Linked DNA regions of Mus musculus. The protein of the gene in region 1 purifies or fractionates together with the protein of each later gene. This does not show direct contact. Links are inferred from orthologs where the notes say so. Each region holds a gene or a part of one and is shown on either strand. Other genes may lie near its edges.

Region 1 (4,300 bases):
GCAGCTCAGTTAGTGTCATCATCGAGTGTGCTGGTGTGCATGAACATGTATGTGCACACACGTGCAGGCCAGATGTTAACGCTGTGTGTTCTCATCAATCTTTCACCATGCTGCTGCTGTTGTTGTTGTTTTAATTTCTCTGCATGTATATGTAATTGTGCATATTGTGTGGTTGTGGAGGCAAGCGGCCAAACTCAGGAATCTGTCCCAATCACTTTCCACCTTAAATTTCAGAGACAGGGAGGTTACTGATTTGGGTGGACTGGCTGGTCAGCCAGCTCTAGACATCTATATGACTCCACCGGACCCCCTGGTAGGAATACAGATGTAAGCTATCATATATGGCTATTATGTGGGTGCTAGGAGCCTGACTCAGAAACAATGTTAGCACTTTAGCCTCAGAGCCATTTCCTCAACCCTTTGACTTATACTGAGAGAGAGGGTCTCTCAGCTTGCTTATTCCGCTACATTATCCTCTCTGCCTCCCCAGTGCTCAGATTATAGACATGTGCCACCATGCCTAGGTTTTTATGGGATGCCATGGAATCCAAACATGGACTCTTGTGCTTACATAACAAACACTCTGAGCTATCTCCCTGGTACCATGGTTATAGTCACAGGGGCTGGAGAGATGGCTCAGTAGTTAAGAGCATATGCCTTTAATCCCAGCACTTGGGAGGCAGAGGCAGGCAGATTTCTGAGTTCGAGGCCTGCCTGGTCTACAGAGTGAGTTCCAGCACAGCCAGGGCTACACAGAGAAACCAAAAAAAAAAAAAAAAAAAAAAAAAGCACCAACTACTCTTCTGAAGGTCCTGAGTTCAAATCCCAGCAACCACATGGTGGCTCACAACCATCTGTAATGAGATCTGACGCCCTCTTCTGGAGGGTCTGAAGACAGCTACAGTGTACTTACATATAATAAATTTAAAAAATCTTAAAAAAAAAAAAAAAAAAGAGGAAGAACAGCCCCAGAGAGGAGCCAACACTCACCACCAGAGTAGTCTCCTCTTGAACCTTCTCTCCTACCAGCAGGGCAGCCGCACTGAGCAAAAGAAACCAAACCACAGAAAGAGAAACAACACAGAGACAAGGAGGAAATCAGTGTGCTGGCTAGGGTTTTGTTGATCTGACATAAGCTGGAATTGTCTGGGAAGAAGAAACTTCAATCGAGAACCTGCTCCTGTGGACAGTGCTCCTCCCCGTGGGCAAGTGGGCCTGTGTTGTACAACATAGCTGGATGTGAATGAGCCAGGAAGCAGTGTCCTCCAGTCTCTGCTTCAGGCCCTGCCATGATTCCCCCAATAACTGAGGATGATCAGGAAGGGTACAAGTTGTTTTGGTCCTGGTCACAGCAGTAGGAAGCAAACTGAGACAATTGGGATTACATAACTGAGAGAGTAGTGGGCAGTAGTTACAAAAGCCAAAGAAGAACCCAGTGCTCTGCTCGCTGTGAATGGTGAAATGGGGGGTCGGGTGAGAGGCAATGAAGCAGTTGGCGCACGCTCCTGCAAAGCCATTTGATATTCTGGAAATCACAGAGTAAGGTTCTGCCAGTCAAGGGATCTGTATCAGAAGACATATGCCAGAGGAAAATTTATCAAAATGACCCTAAAACCTGAAGCCAAGGCTTGACAGGGACTGAGTAAGCACACCAGCACTGAGCTATCCCCACCATTTCTTGTTTACTTTATGACCCAGGTCTCATAGTTGCTCAGTCAGGCCTTAAACCTGTGATCTTCCCACACAGCTGGGACTACAGTGCTATGGCACTAGGATGGGCCTTGTTGATGCTGAGACCAGTTTCACTCTGCAGGCCCGGCTGGCACCAAACTCATGGTAATCCCACTGTTTCAGTTTCTCAAGTCTGGGAGTCTAGGTGTGAGGCAGCACACAATCCCAGTCAATCTGGTAGCAAGTTATAGTGCACACCCCTGGCAATGCACACGACGCAGCCTTCTAAAAAGGTTTTCTGGAAAACACACACCATGGTCAGAGGCTCACAGTAATATGATGATTTAACTCTTTAAAAGCATGGGATAAACTAAAAAAGAAATAGGTGGGAAATAAATGGAAATATTATTATAAATGCTGTCTCTCTACCTCAAGTTTTTTTCTTTTTCTTTATTCTTCTTATGAAGCCTAGGTTGCCCTCAAACTCCCTGTGATAGGATTGCACCAAACCAGGCTATTGTTTATTTATTATACTTTTTAACCTAAGTTTCCCAAATTCTTATCTCTTAACACGTTGTCAATCACAATTCATCAGTCCAGCTAAAATTTACAGTTAGTGACTTGGAGCAGACCCATAGACCATCAGGTTCAGGGCATGTGACAAACATTTATAAAGAACCTTAGTTCCCTCTATGATCAGTAGAACTGTATGTCAAAGGAGGGATTTGTGACTGCGACCCTAGCTGGAAATTTTTGTTTTAGCTGGAAATCAATGACGCCGCGACCACCCCCGTGGTACCCACCTCACCCCATTTGGCCTCTTCCGCAAGTTCTGCACCTCTCGGGTTTCTTCCAGTTTTAGCCTGGGGGAAAAAAAGGAATAAAAAGTGACGCACAGGTTGAGACCTGCGGAACTCAAAAGCCAAACTCCGTTCTAAGGACATGTCCCTTTGCCGAGTCCCTGATCCAGTGGTCATCGGCAGTCAGACCCATGCGACCCCGGGGCACCTCTCCCAGCCGCGATGTGGCCTTATCCCTAGGAGCCTCTGCGTGGCGCTGGCCGGTATCCAGTCCCAAGCCTGTCTCAGCAACACGTACCGAACCTCCTCTGATTCTTGTTCATCCTCCTCCGACTCCGAGTCAGCCCGGCGCCGGCGGAATGTTTTCCCAGTAATCCGCATAGCGGAACCAGACCCTTGGCGCTGCGTTACCAGACGCGTAGTCCAGGGAACCTCTCTCTTCCGGCGCGCAGAAGTGTCGTCAGAGCGTCGGCTGCACTCAGACCCGCCTCCGCCTTGCCAGGCCACACCCCAAGCCCGTAGGGCCCCGCCTCAGCAGGGCAGGCAACCACTCCGAACTCCGAAAAGCAAGGGCAGGTATTGCCGCGTGGCCACACCCTCGACCACGCCCATCGAGTAACCATGCTCACCGCTCAACAGGACGGCCTTCGAACCACACGGTGAAACCCCAGCAGCACGGCCACTCCCCCGACTCCCGGCATGCTTGGGCACTCACCACTCGCACGGCCACGCCTCCGGCGTGCCCGGTACCGCCCTCTAGTAGGCTGTGACCTGTGACACCGCCCCCGCTCCTGGCATAGGCTCTCCCGATTGGACGTCTGACGGTGAGGAGGCGGGGCGTGGCAGGCAGAGCCACAAGACTCTAGGCAGCGCCGCGGTGGGCTAGCTTGACTGACAGGCGGCGCGGTTGCGACGGCAGGTGAGTTTCTGACGGCTGCTGCCTGCTGCCGGGGGCTGGGCCGCTAGAGCGGGGATCATCGTCCAGCCGCTGGGAGCAGGGGAGGCCTGGCTTTGCGGGGCGGCCAGGACCTGGTAAGAGGTCCCCGCCGCCTATCATCCCATCACCGACTCCCGTGCCCGCCCCGAACCCCCACGGCTCTGGCTTTTGAGCAGGCCGCACGTCGCTTGGAAGGCCAGCAGGAGGCCACTCGGGCTCCAGGGCTCGGACGTGCACATTTATTCCTCACTCACAAAAGCTGATCACCTTGCCGGGGGTGAATATCAGTCCCGGTGCTGACTGTCCATACCAGGTTGGCCTGCAGCCATTCGTCCCTAGGAGAGGTACCACTGACGTTCAGAGGCCAGGGACTGCTCTTTGAGAGCTTGGGAGGACTCGTTTGGCCTGGAGGACTGTCGCTCTGCCATAAGCACCTTACACCCCCGAGATGTTGCGACGGTAGTTAGTTTTTAAAGGTGTCTATAAACACTTATAAGATGGATAAGTGCATGCGTAATAGCTCACATGGGACTTTTAGGGACTCCTTAATTACTAGTTTCCTCTGGAGCACAGCGCTTCTTACTCGACACTTAACTGTGGCAGGCACTGGGGTAAGCAGTCTCTTCTAGAAGCCTTCCATCAAATCCCACGAAGTAGATGCAGTTGGGTCTCTCTTTCAAAAAACGAGGCTACCGAGGCGTAAGAGAAGTAACCCGTACTTCAAGTTCTGCAGCTGGGAGGTGAGGCTGGGTTGGGGACAGAGCTTTCACAGCTGCAGGGTGTGCTTCAGGGACAGCGGGCCTCTGTGGGTCTTCCCTGCTGCTGCTGCAGCTGGTGTGCCAGCTTATGGGCTGGGGGAGGGGCTGATGGACACTTTTTCCAGAAGACTATT
Region 2 (3,688 bases), on another chromosome or scaffold:
ATGTCCAGAATGTCGTGCATCACAGCAGCCCTGAGCTCCAGGTCAAAGTGCGACTCCACCCGCTGCTTCGTTACTGTCTTTGCCACCCCCTTTGAGTGACGGCCTAGAAGTGAAAGACAGCCCAGAGATCAAATCAGTAAATAGTGACAAGTGTCCATGCGACCCACACATGGCAAAGAGACAAGCCACTTTAGACAGTCACAAACATACAAACACATGATAGCTGAAAATCCTAGAGAGCAGCCTGAGAACCACAACAGGAGTAGGTCAGAGTCACTTAACACAGAGCGGGGACAGATGACACAGGACATCAGGAACACAAGCCTGGGTGAGGAAACCACTTACCTTCAAACTGTCGGGCCAGAAGGTTGCCCAGCCATCGCTCTAGCAGAGGGGTAATTCCACGCATAAAGAACAGCCAGACCCGCCAGCCAGCAGCCCAGAAACCACAGCCAGGGCCTTTCCCTACAGGACCCTACAGTCAAGCAGAAATCATGAACATAAATGAACAATTCCTTTAGAGAAATGATAGAAAGAAAACCAGGCAGAAGTAGAAGGATGAACATGAATCAGGCTGCCGTGAGACAGGGTAAATGTTGTTTGAGTCCTCAGTCTAGAATAGGGATGCATGTAAGAATTTCAAGGCAGAAACTGAGGCTCCTGCAAGGATTCAGTGGTAGGTTTGAGGGGAAGTGCTGTGATTCACTGAGTATAGTAAGGACATAGTCAAGAGATTCTCTCTAAGAAGGTCCTGGGGAAAAGCTCTAACTGCAAAGAAAAAGCAAGGGTGTGTGAAGGCTGGCAGTGAGGGCTGGGTCTCACCGTGTTGAAGCGGTAATAGATGAGATGTTTCAAGTCCTTGCACATGCGGATCTGCCGCATCAGCTTATATTTGTATCGATACATGCCTGTCAACTGTCCCACGTGGGCAAATATATACTGCAAACCATCTGCCAGCTGCAAAAAAAAAAAAATCACCCATTAGACTTAGAGCCAGAGCCAGCTCCAAAGCCAGCACAGGCTTTACCCTGTCTCTCCATCCAGGCAGGGGTCCAGGCAGCATGGCCTCACCTGGAAGGCATCTACATTGCCCAAGCGATACTGCACATGGCTGTCCACAACCAGCTTGGTTAAACGCAGTACTTCCCGACATAGATGGAAAGCATTCCCAAAACGGGATTTCTTTCTTTCCTGAAAAGGCCAAGAACACAAAGAACATTAATGATAGTGGCCACAGAAGGAGGTGTGCCACAGTCCCATCCACCCCTAAGCCCAGCAGAGCCGCAAGATCCCAGACAGGACCTTGGTGGTGAGCGTCTTGACAGGCTTCAGGTTGAAGTTGTAGTCCAAGTGCAGATAGTTGAGGTTCTTCCGGTGAATGAGAAGGTTGAGCATGTTGTAGCCCTGGCGGCAAACCTGCAGCCCTACCTCCACCCAGTCCAGCTTGGTGGACTGAAAGAATTTGGTAGCTTTGAAAGAACGGAACAGATACCTGGGTAAAAATAGAGATGAGCGTTAAAGTGGCAGAGTGACATTTTGGAACACAAGGTGTAGCAGGGGCCTCCAGCGCTGTACCTCTTCTTCTGGGCTTTGGGAGGCCGGTGCTTGAGGGCATTCAGCACATAGTACTTAAGCAGCTTCTGATAAGAGACTCGAACCTTCACAGGCTGCCCAGCAGGACAGTGCTCCCGATACCTGGTTAAATAAGCCCATCAGAGCCTTGTCCCCTTCTCCTTCCAGACCCTCTGGGAAGGCCGCATGCCCATGCAGACAGTCTTTTCTCGCATGCTGCTCTACTACCCCTTAGGGAGAAACCTCACCAGTTCTTGACAAGGGGTATGTCCAAGGCCCGGCGGGTACGACCAGAGCGTAGGTTGAAGGGCCGTGGTGCCCAGAGCAGGGCAATGCCATTGGCTGTGTTGTCTGTATAGAGAGGTGTATCCTTCAGGAAGGGCTCGACAAACTCTGGGAGTTCAAACTCTTCATCATCATCAGGCAGTGGTTCTTGGCTCTGAAAAAGAAATCCTCGCGGGTTCATTTCCCGCTCACTGAGTGCAGGACTGAGATGGGCAGTAGCGGCTACACATGCCTGACAAGACATGAGCAGCCTAAAGAGCTAGATAAAGGAGCCAAGGGAGTAGAGAAGAGAGCTAAGCAGGAAATCAACCCACCGGCTTACCACTAAAAGCTTCCCAAAGGAGCTCTAGTACCATACCATAGGAAGTACGTACTGCAGTCAGTTCCTGACCAAAACTCCTGAGCTCAAGAAAGGAGGCCTGAAATCCCAGTATGTAGGCAGAGGCTAAGACAAAGGGACTGCATGAGTAAGACCAACACGAAACCACCCAGCCAATTTAGGTTAACCTACACTATATGTCCAAAAAGAAAAAGGTGAGGCATAGGCTGCTGAGTGGCAGGAAACTTGCATGCATAAGGCCCCAAGCTCAATCTTCAGGACTCTCATTCCCAGCCGCCCTCCAAAGCATGTGATTCCCTCTTGCCTTGACTGAGTGTCTATGGGAGATTGGGTTGATCAAAGGATCAAAGTAGAAAGCTGGCAGATCAGGATCCTCAGTCTTGATGAACACAACGTTGGGAGTGTGGTACCTATAACAAAAAGAAGAGTCAGCCAACATTCTCGTGCTCTGGCCTTCTCCGTTCTAACTGCCATGCTGCAAGCGTCTTACCAGGTCAGGTGGACGTGGTGTGGAAGGTTGTTATACAGGTAAGGAAAAGCAATCTTGTACTCAGTACGAATAGGCTGACGGATGATGATCTTATTAATATCGTTAAATTCATTCCAGTCTTCATCCCTAGGACAGAAAGTCAAGTGAGTTGTCTAGTTCCACTGTTAGACAGGATCTTAAGATAAATATTAAATTTTAACACACACAAGGTGCCTCCCAACTTACTGTAAGTTGATGTCTCGAACAAGAGGCTCAAATTTGGGTCCCCCAGGAATGGCCATGTTGAGTGCCTTAGAGGTAAAAAAGGCCTTCAGATCAAAGAGATAGAAGTAGTTGTCATCTACAAGGTCAGTCAGAAGCTGATTGGCCAGTCGGTAGAGTGTGGACATCATAGGCAATGTGAACTGCCAGCGTTGGTAGGTGGAACCATTAACGTACCTAGGGAAAAGATGGAGGGCCCCCATCAAGTAGGTTTTGAGCCCAGTCGCTTACCTACTGCCTCCCCACAGCTCCTGTTTGCAGAACTCTCACAGAAATTAGTTCCACTCACTTCCTACTGTCTCTCAAAGGCTGGTGGTCATAGAACCAGTCCAACACAGGGGCATCCTCCTCTGGGTCCAGCTCTAGCTGAATGGCTTCCAGTGGCTCAACATCTAAGATGTTGTCGGCATAATCCAGGGGCGGTTCCTCGTCATCGAAAGGGGGGAAACGCATCCTCTTGAAATGCCTCCTGTCTCTTTTTTCTCTACGCATCATGATCCACATTGACCTAAAATGCAAGAGCATCATGTCCACTGATCTCAGCTGCAACACCCCACCCCAGCGCCCAACACCTCCCACCATACTCCAGCCCTTCTCACCCCCACTGGGAGATGTAAACCGGCTCGATAACCCAGGGAATCTCGTTAACAAAGGAGATGGCTCCAGTGATGTGGTACAGCACAGGCACGTCCCGGATCTGCTCCCAAGGCATGGGCATGTTCTCAAGGAGCTTGAGGACT
Region 3 (3,688 bases), on another chromosome or scaffold:
TTCTGTTTTTGTTGTTGTTTTTTAAGACAGGCGTTCACTATGTAGCCCTGACCCTGGAACTCATAACATAGAAATCTACCTGGATGCATCTTAAGTGCTGGGATTGAGGGTGTGTGTACCACCATGTCTGACTTTTTTTTAAGTAAAGAATCTAATAGGCACTCAAACTTGCTATGTGACTGAGGCTGGCCTAGAACTCCTGATCCTCCTGCCTCTATGTCCCAGGTAATGGGATTGATTACAGGTGTGTGCCACCACACCCAGCTTCTTCCTTTGAGTGTGTGAATAGGTTTGAGTGCGTGCTCGAGCATGTTTATAGTCATGTGTGTACAGGCTGATGTGGGGTATCTTCCTTCCCATACACGCTGCACCCCTCTCCCCCTTTTTGAGACAGACATAATGAGTTCCAGGGCAGACTGAGCTGCGGTACAAGACTGTTACAGAAAAACTGAAAAAGCATACAAAGCAATGGATTTCTTCCTAGCATTTCCCCAGCACACATCACTGTATTTGTTCCTTACTGCTCTCTGGAGCCCCCACCTCCTGCTTACTTCTTATTGGGTGTCTCAGCAAAGCATTTGAGGGAGGACGTTTCTACCACTGTCTCACAGAATGTCACAACTGGGTCAGCCACCTAGGCAATGAGAAACAATTGAGATAAATGTCAGTTTTGTTGGAAGGACAAAGTTCTACTGAGGGAATTCTGATGCATCCCTGTTCTCTCTCTGCAGAGCATCCTATGCAGTTCTACAGCAGCAGGCCAAAGAACTGTCCACATCACCACCAAAGAGTCCGGGAGCAGCATCAGGAGGAAGTGGGGGCACAAACTAGGCTCTAAATCTAGGGCTTTAATTATGGTCTTCCAAGAAAGCTCCCGCCACCTGCCGCTCACTGACCACCCCTCAGAGGACGACAGGAACAGTGCTAGAGAACTGCATCTGTCCACTCTCAGGCTCCAGCTCCAGAAGTACAGCTGCCCTGTAATGCAGGGCCGTGCAGACAATGTCATACCATGCATGGTGCTAGGTCAAGACTTGGTGGTAAGTCTGAGAGCCAGCTCCCACTCTCCATGACACCATCTACTCTGAGACAATCAGCAGAGACAGAATAGTTTTTCTCCTAATGTAGGGACAAGAATAACTGTGCCTTGGGAGCCTTGACTTTAAATGACACTGAAAATGACTCAGTGAGTCGGGTGACCTGTCTCTAGAACCTTCCCCGATGAAGAACAACTGAAAGCACTTTCTACAGAAGGGTCTCTAGTGGTCATCCAAGGGGCTAAGGGTTTGCCCACTCAGGACATCCCTTTGGAGCTGACAGCCAGGCTAAGGGAAGGGGTACCTTGATGTCGATCTCTGAGTACATCTTCCGCAGGTCGTGCATCACACAGTCCAGGTAGAGCTCCCCAGTGCCCAGGATCACATGCTCGCCAGACTCTTCCACCTGAAACACAGCAGCCCAGCAGTCAGCGCTCACTGCTGTGTCCTGGTCACCAAACAAAACTCAAGGCACCAGAGATGAAGGTTGCAAAGCTCATTATCAGAAGCAGTGACTATCTCAGGCAGTAGAGGGTAAGGGCTGGCTGGTTCAGTGCTTAAACACTTCCTCTGTGTGACCGAGACCTGGGTTCAATCTTCGGTACGATCTACACCCCACACCTCGCCCCGCAGCCTGCAAAAAGCTTAGTGTGGTGGTATGCCTGTCCACTGGCTGGTCTTGTGTGCCAATGTGACACCAGCTGGAGTCATCACAGAGAAAGGAGTATCGGTTAAGGAAATGCCTCATGAGGTCCAGTTGTAAGGCATTTTCTCAACTAATGATCAATGGGGGAGGGCCCCACCCATTGTGTGGTACCAACTCTGGTTTCTGTAAGGAAGGCTGAGCATGAGGATCTAGTCAGTAAGCAGCACCACTCCATGGCCTCTGCATCAGCTCCTGCCTCCAAGTTCCTGTACTGTTTGAGTTACTGTCCTGACTTCCTTCAGCGGTGAACAGCAATGTGGAGGTATAAGCTAAATAAACCCTTTCCTCCCCAACTTCCTTTTTGATCATGGTATTTTATTACAGCAAAAGAAAGCCTACCTATGACAGCTTGTAATTCAGCATTCAGGTGGCAGGAGATTCACCCTGAGCTTGAGGTCAACTTGATTGACAGAGCTAATGCTAGGCCAACCAATACTGCACAATAGTAGTCTGTCCCCAGTATAAGAACAGTATAAGGCAGTAAGAGGACCATACTGCCCTAACCAGTAGTAGGTCCCCGAGACGACAGGACCATTTAGCACAGCATCACTGACTGGATTCCTACCTTGGCCAACCCTATCCTTAAATCCACACACAAGGTACCCCTTTAACTTGCCCTTCTGGCTACTCAGAAATAGTTTGGTGGCAGGCTCAAGAGTATATAATGCCCAGCCACTTTTGCTTTTCTTTTTTCCCACTAATCCAAAGAACAGTAGAGGCCAAACTCTAGGCCCAAGTCTCTCTAACCAGAACTCTTATGTATTCCTCTTTTGAATTCTACTATTTCCTTTTTCTTTTTAAAGATTTATCTTATTTATGAGTACAGTGTTGCTCTCTTCAGACACACCAGGAGAGGGAATCAGATTCCATTACAGATGGCTGTGAGCCACCATGTGCTTGCTGGGAATTGAACTCAGGACCTCTGGAAGAGCAGCCAGTGCTCTTAACCGATGAGCCCTCTCTCTCCAGCCCTGCTTGTCTTCTTTTCTACTATTTTATGTGTACGGGTGCTTTGCCTACAATTATGTCTGTGTACTACATGCATGCCTGGCACCTGTGGAGCCACAAGAGAGCAGTTCCAATCCCCTGGTAGTTATAGATGGCGATGAGCAGCCCCCTGCTTGCTGGGAATAAAACTAGAGTCTTTTGGAAGAAGAGCCAGTGCTCTTACCTGCCGAGCCATCTCTCCGGCCCCACCCGCAGCCCATGATGGCCTCTGACTCCCTATGGAGCTGAGGCTGTTGACCCTGAGCTCTGGATCCCCGACTCAGTCTCCCAGATGCAGGGATCACAGGTGCCTACCACCATGACTGGTTCTCATTTCTCTGGAGAACCGATTCAAACTGTGTGCCCACTGAAGACTATGGCTATGTAAAGTCGTCTGAGGAAACAAAAGTGCACACTCCAGTCTGCCTGCCCTCAAACGATAACAGGCAGGCGGTAGAAAACAACAGAGGACGAACACCTCTTGAATGGCCCGGAATGACAGACAGACAGCACAGAGCAGTCAGCCGGGGAGCGTGGGGCTTGGCAGCTCTGCAGCCTTGGCCATACCTTGGTGGTGAGAGATGGATAGCTCTTGTTGACCTTGCGCAGGCCATCAAGCATTTTGGGCAGCTCTGAGGGGTTAACCGGCTCCACGGCAATCTTGATAACAGATGTGGTATTGAATTTCAAGGGCCGGAAAATCTGAGCCTGAGATCCAAAGAACAGAGGAGTGAGGGAGGGCCTAAGGCAAGAAGGTGCAGGCCTAAGGGAAAAACTGAAATCTTGACTCCCCAACCAAGAACCATGGTACATAGGAGCCCAATTTAAAGGACCATTTGCTTCAGGAATTTTGGCAGAGCACTGGGCGAGAACGAGAGGCAGTCCTCCTAACTCCTGGCATCTGAGGAGAGCTCAAGGGGTGAGGGCAATACTAGGGCTGAGCCAAGCGGCAGCAGTG

The links. The genes of interacting proteins can lie anywhere in the genome.
Region 2: the proteins of BC005624 (region 1) and Prpf8 purify together in Homo sapiens (affinity purification with mass spectrometry; 4 studies listed by BioGRID and IntAct, with this or other methods). This does not show direct contact. The link is inferred for Mus musculus from reciprocal best matches to the Homo sapiens genes C9orf78 and PRPF8.
Region 3: the proteins of BC005624 (region 1) and Eftud2 purify together in Homo sapiens (affinity purification with mass spectrometry; 3 studies listed by BioGRID and IntAct, with this or other methods). This does not show direct contact. The link is inferred for Mus musculus from reciprocal best matches to the Homo sapiens genes C9orf78 and EFTUD2.

What each region holds. Positions count from the first base shown.
Region 1 is NC_000068.7:30,979,009-30,983,308, forward strand, and holds the start of BC005624 (telomere length and silencing protein 1 homolog), read right to left. Parts: upstream 2,934-4,300; 5' UTR 2,853-2,933; coding exon 2,770-2,852; intron 2,535-2,769; coding exon 2,475-2,534; intron 1,043-2,474; coding exon 991-1,042; intron 1-990. UniProt on the Homo sapiens protein: Plays a role in pre-mRNA splicing by promoting usage of the upstream 3'-splice site at alternative NAGNAG splice sites; these are sites featuring alternative acceptor motifs separated by only a few nucleotides. May also modulate exon inclusion events.
Region 2 is NC_000077.6:75,489,766-75,493,453, reverse strand, and holds part of Prpf8 (pre-mRNA-processing-splicing factor 8), read right to left. Parts: coding exon 3,548-3,688; intron 3,457-3,547; coding exon 3,238-3,456; intron 3,126-3,237; coding exon 2,913-3,125; intron 2,814-2,912; coding exon 2,688-2,813; intron 2,608-2,687; coding exon 2,502-2,607; intron 2,012-2,501; coding exon 1,821-2,011; intron 1,696-1,820; coding exon 1,576-1,695; intron 1,493-1,575; coding exon 1,303-1,492; intron 1,192-1,302; coding exon 1,072-1,191; intron 958-1,071; coding exon 823-957; intron 476-822; coding exon 346-475; intron 104-345; coding exon 1-103. UniProt on the Homo sapiens protein: Plays a role in pre-mRNA splicing as core component of precatalytic, catalytic and postcatalytic spliceosomal complexes, both of the predominant U2-type spliceosome and the minor U12-type spliceosome.
Region 3 is NC_000077.6:102,842,799-102,846,486, forward strand, and holds part of Eftud2 (116 kDa U5 small nuclear ribonucleoprotein component), read right to left. Parts: intron 3,439-3,688; coding exon 3,298-3,438; intron 1,444-3,297; coding exon 1,342-1,443; exon of another isoform or gene 839-1,341; coding exon of another isoform or gene 732-838; intron 635-731; coding exon 552-634; intron 1-551. Other genes in the region: Higd1b (HIG1 domain family member 1B), read left to right, coding at 732-838. UniProt on the Homo sapiens protein: Required for pre-mRNA splicing as component of the spliceosome, including pre-catalytic, catalytic and post-catalytic spliceosomal complexes. Component of the U5 snRNP and the U4/U6-U5 tri-snRNP complex, a building block of the spliceosome.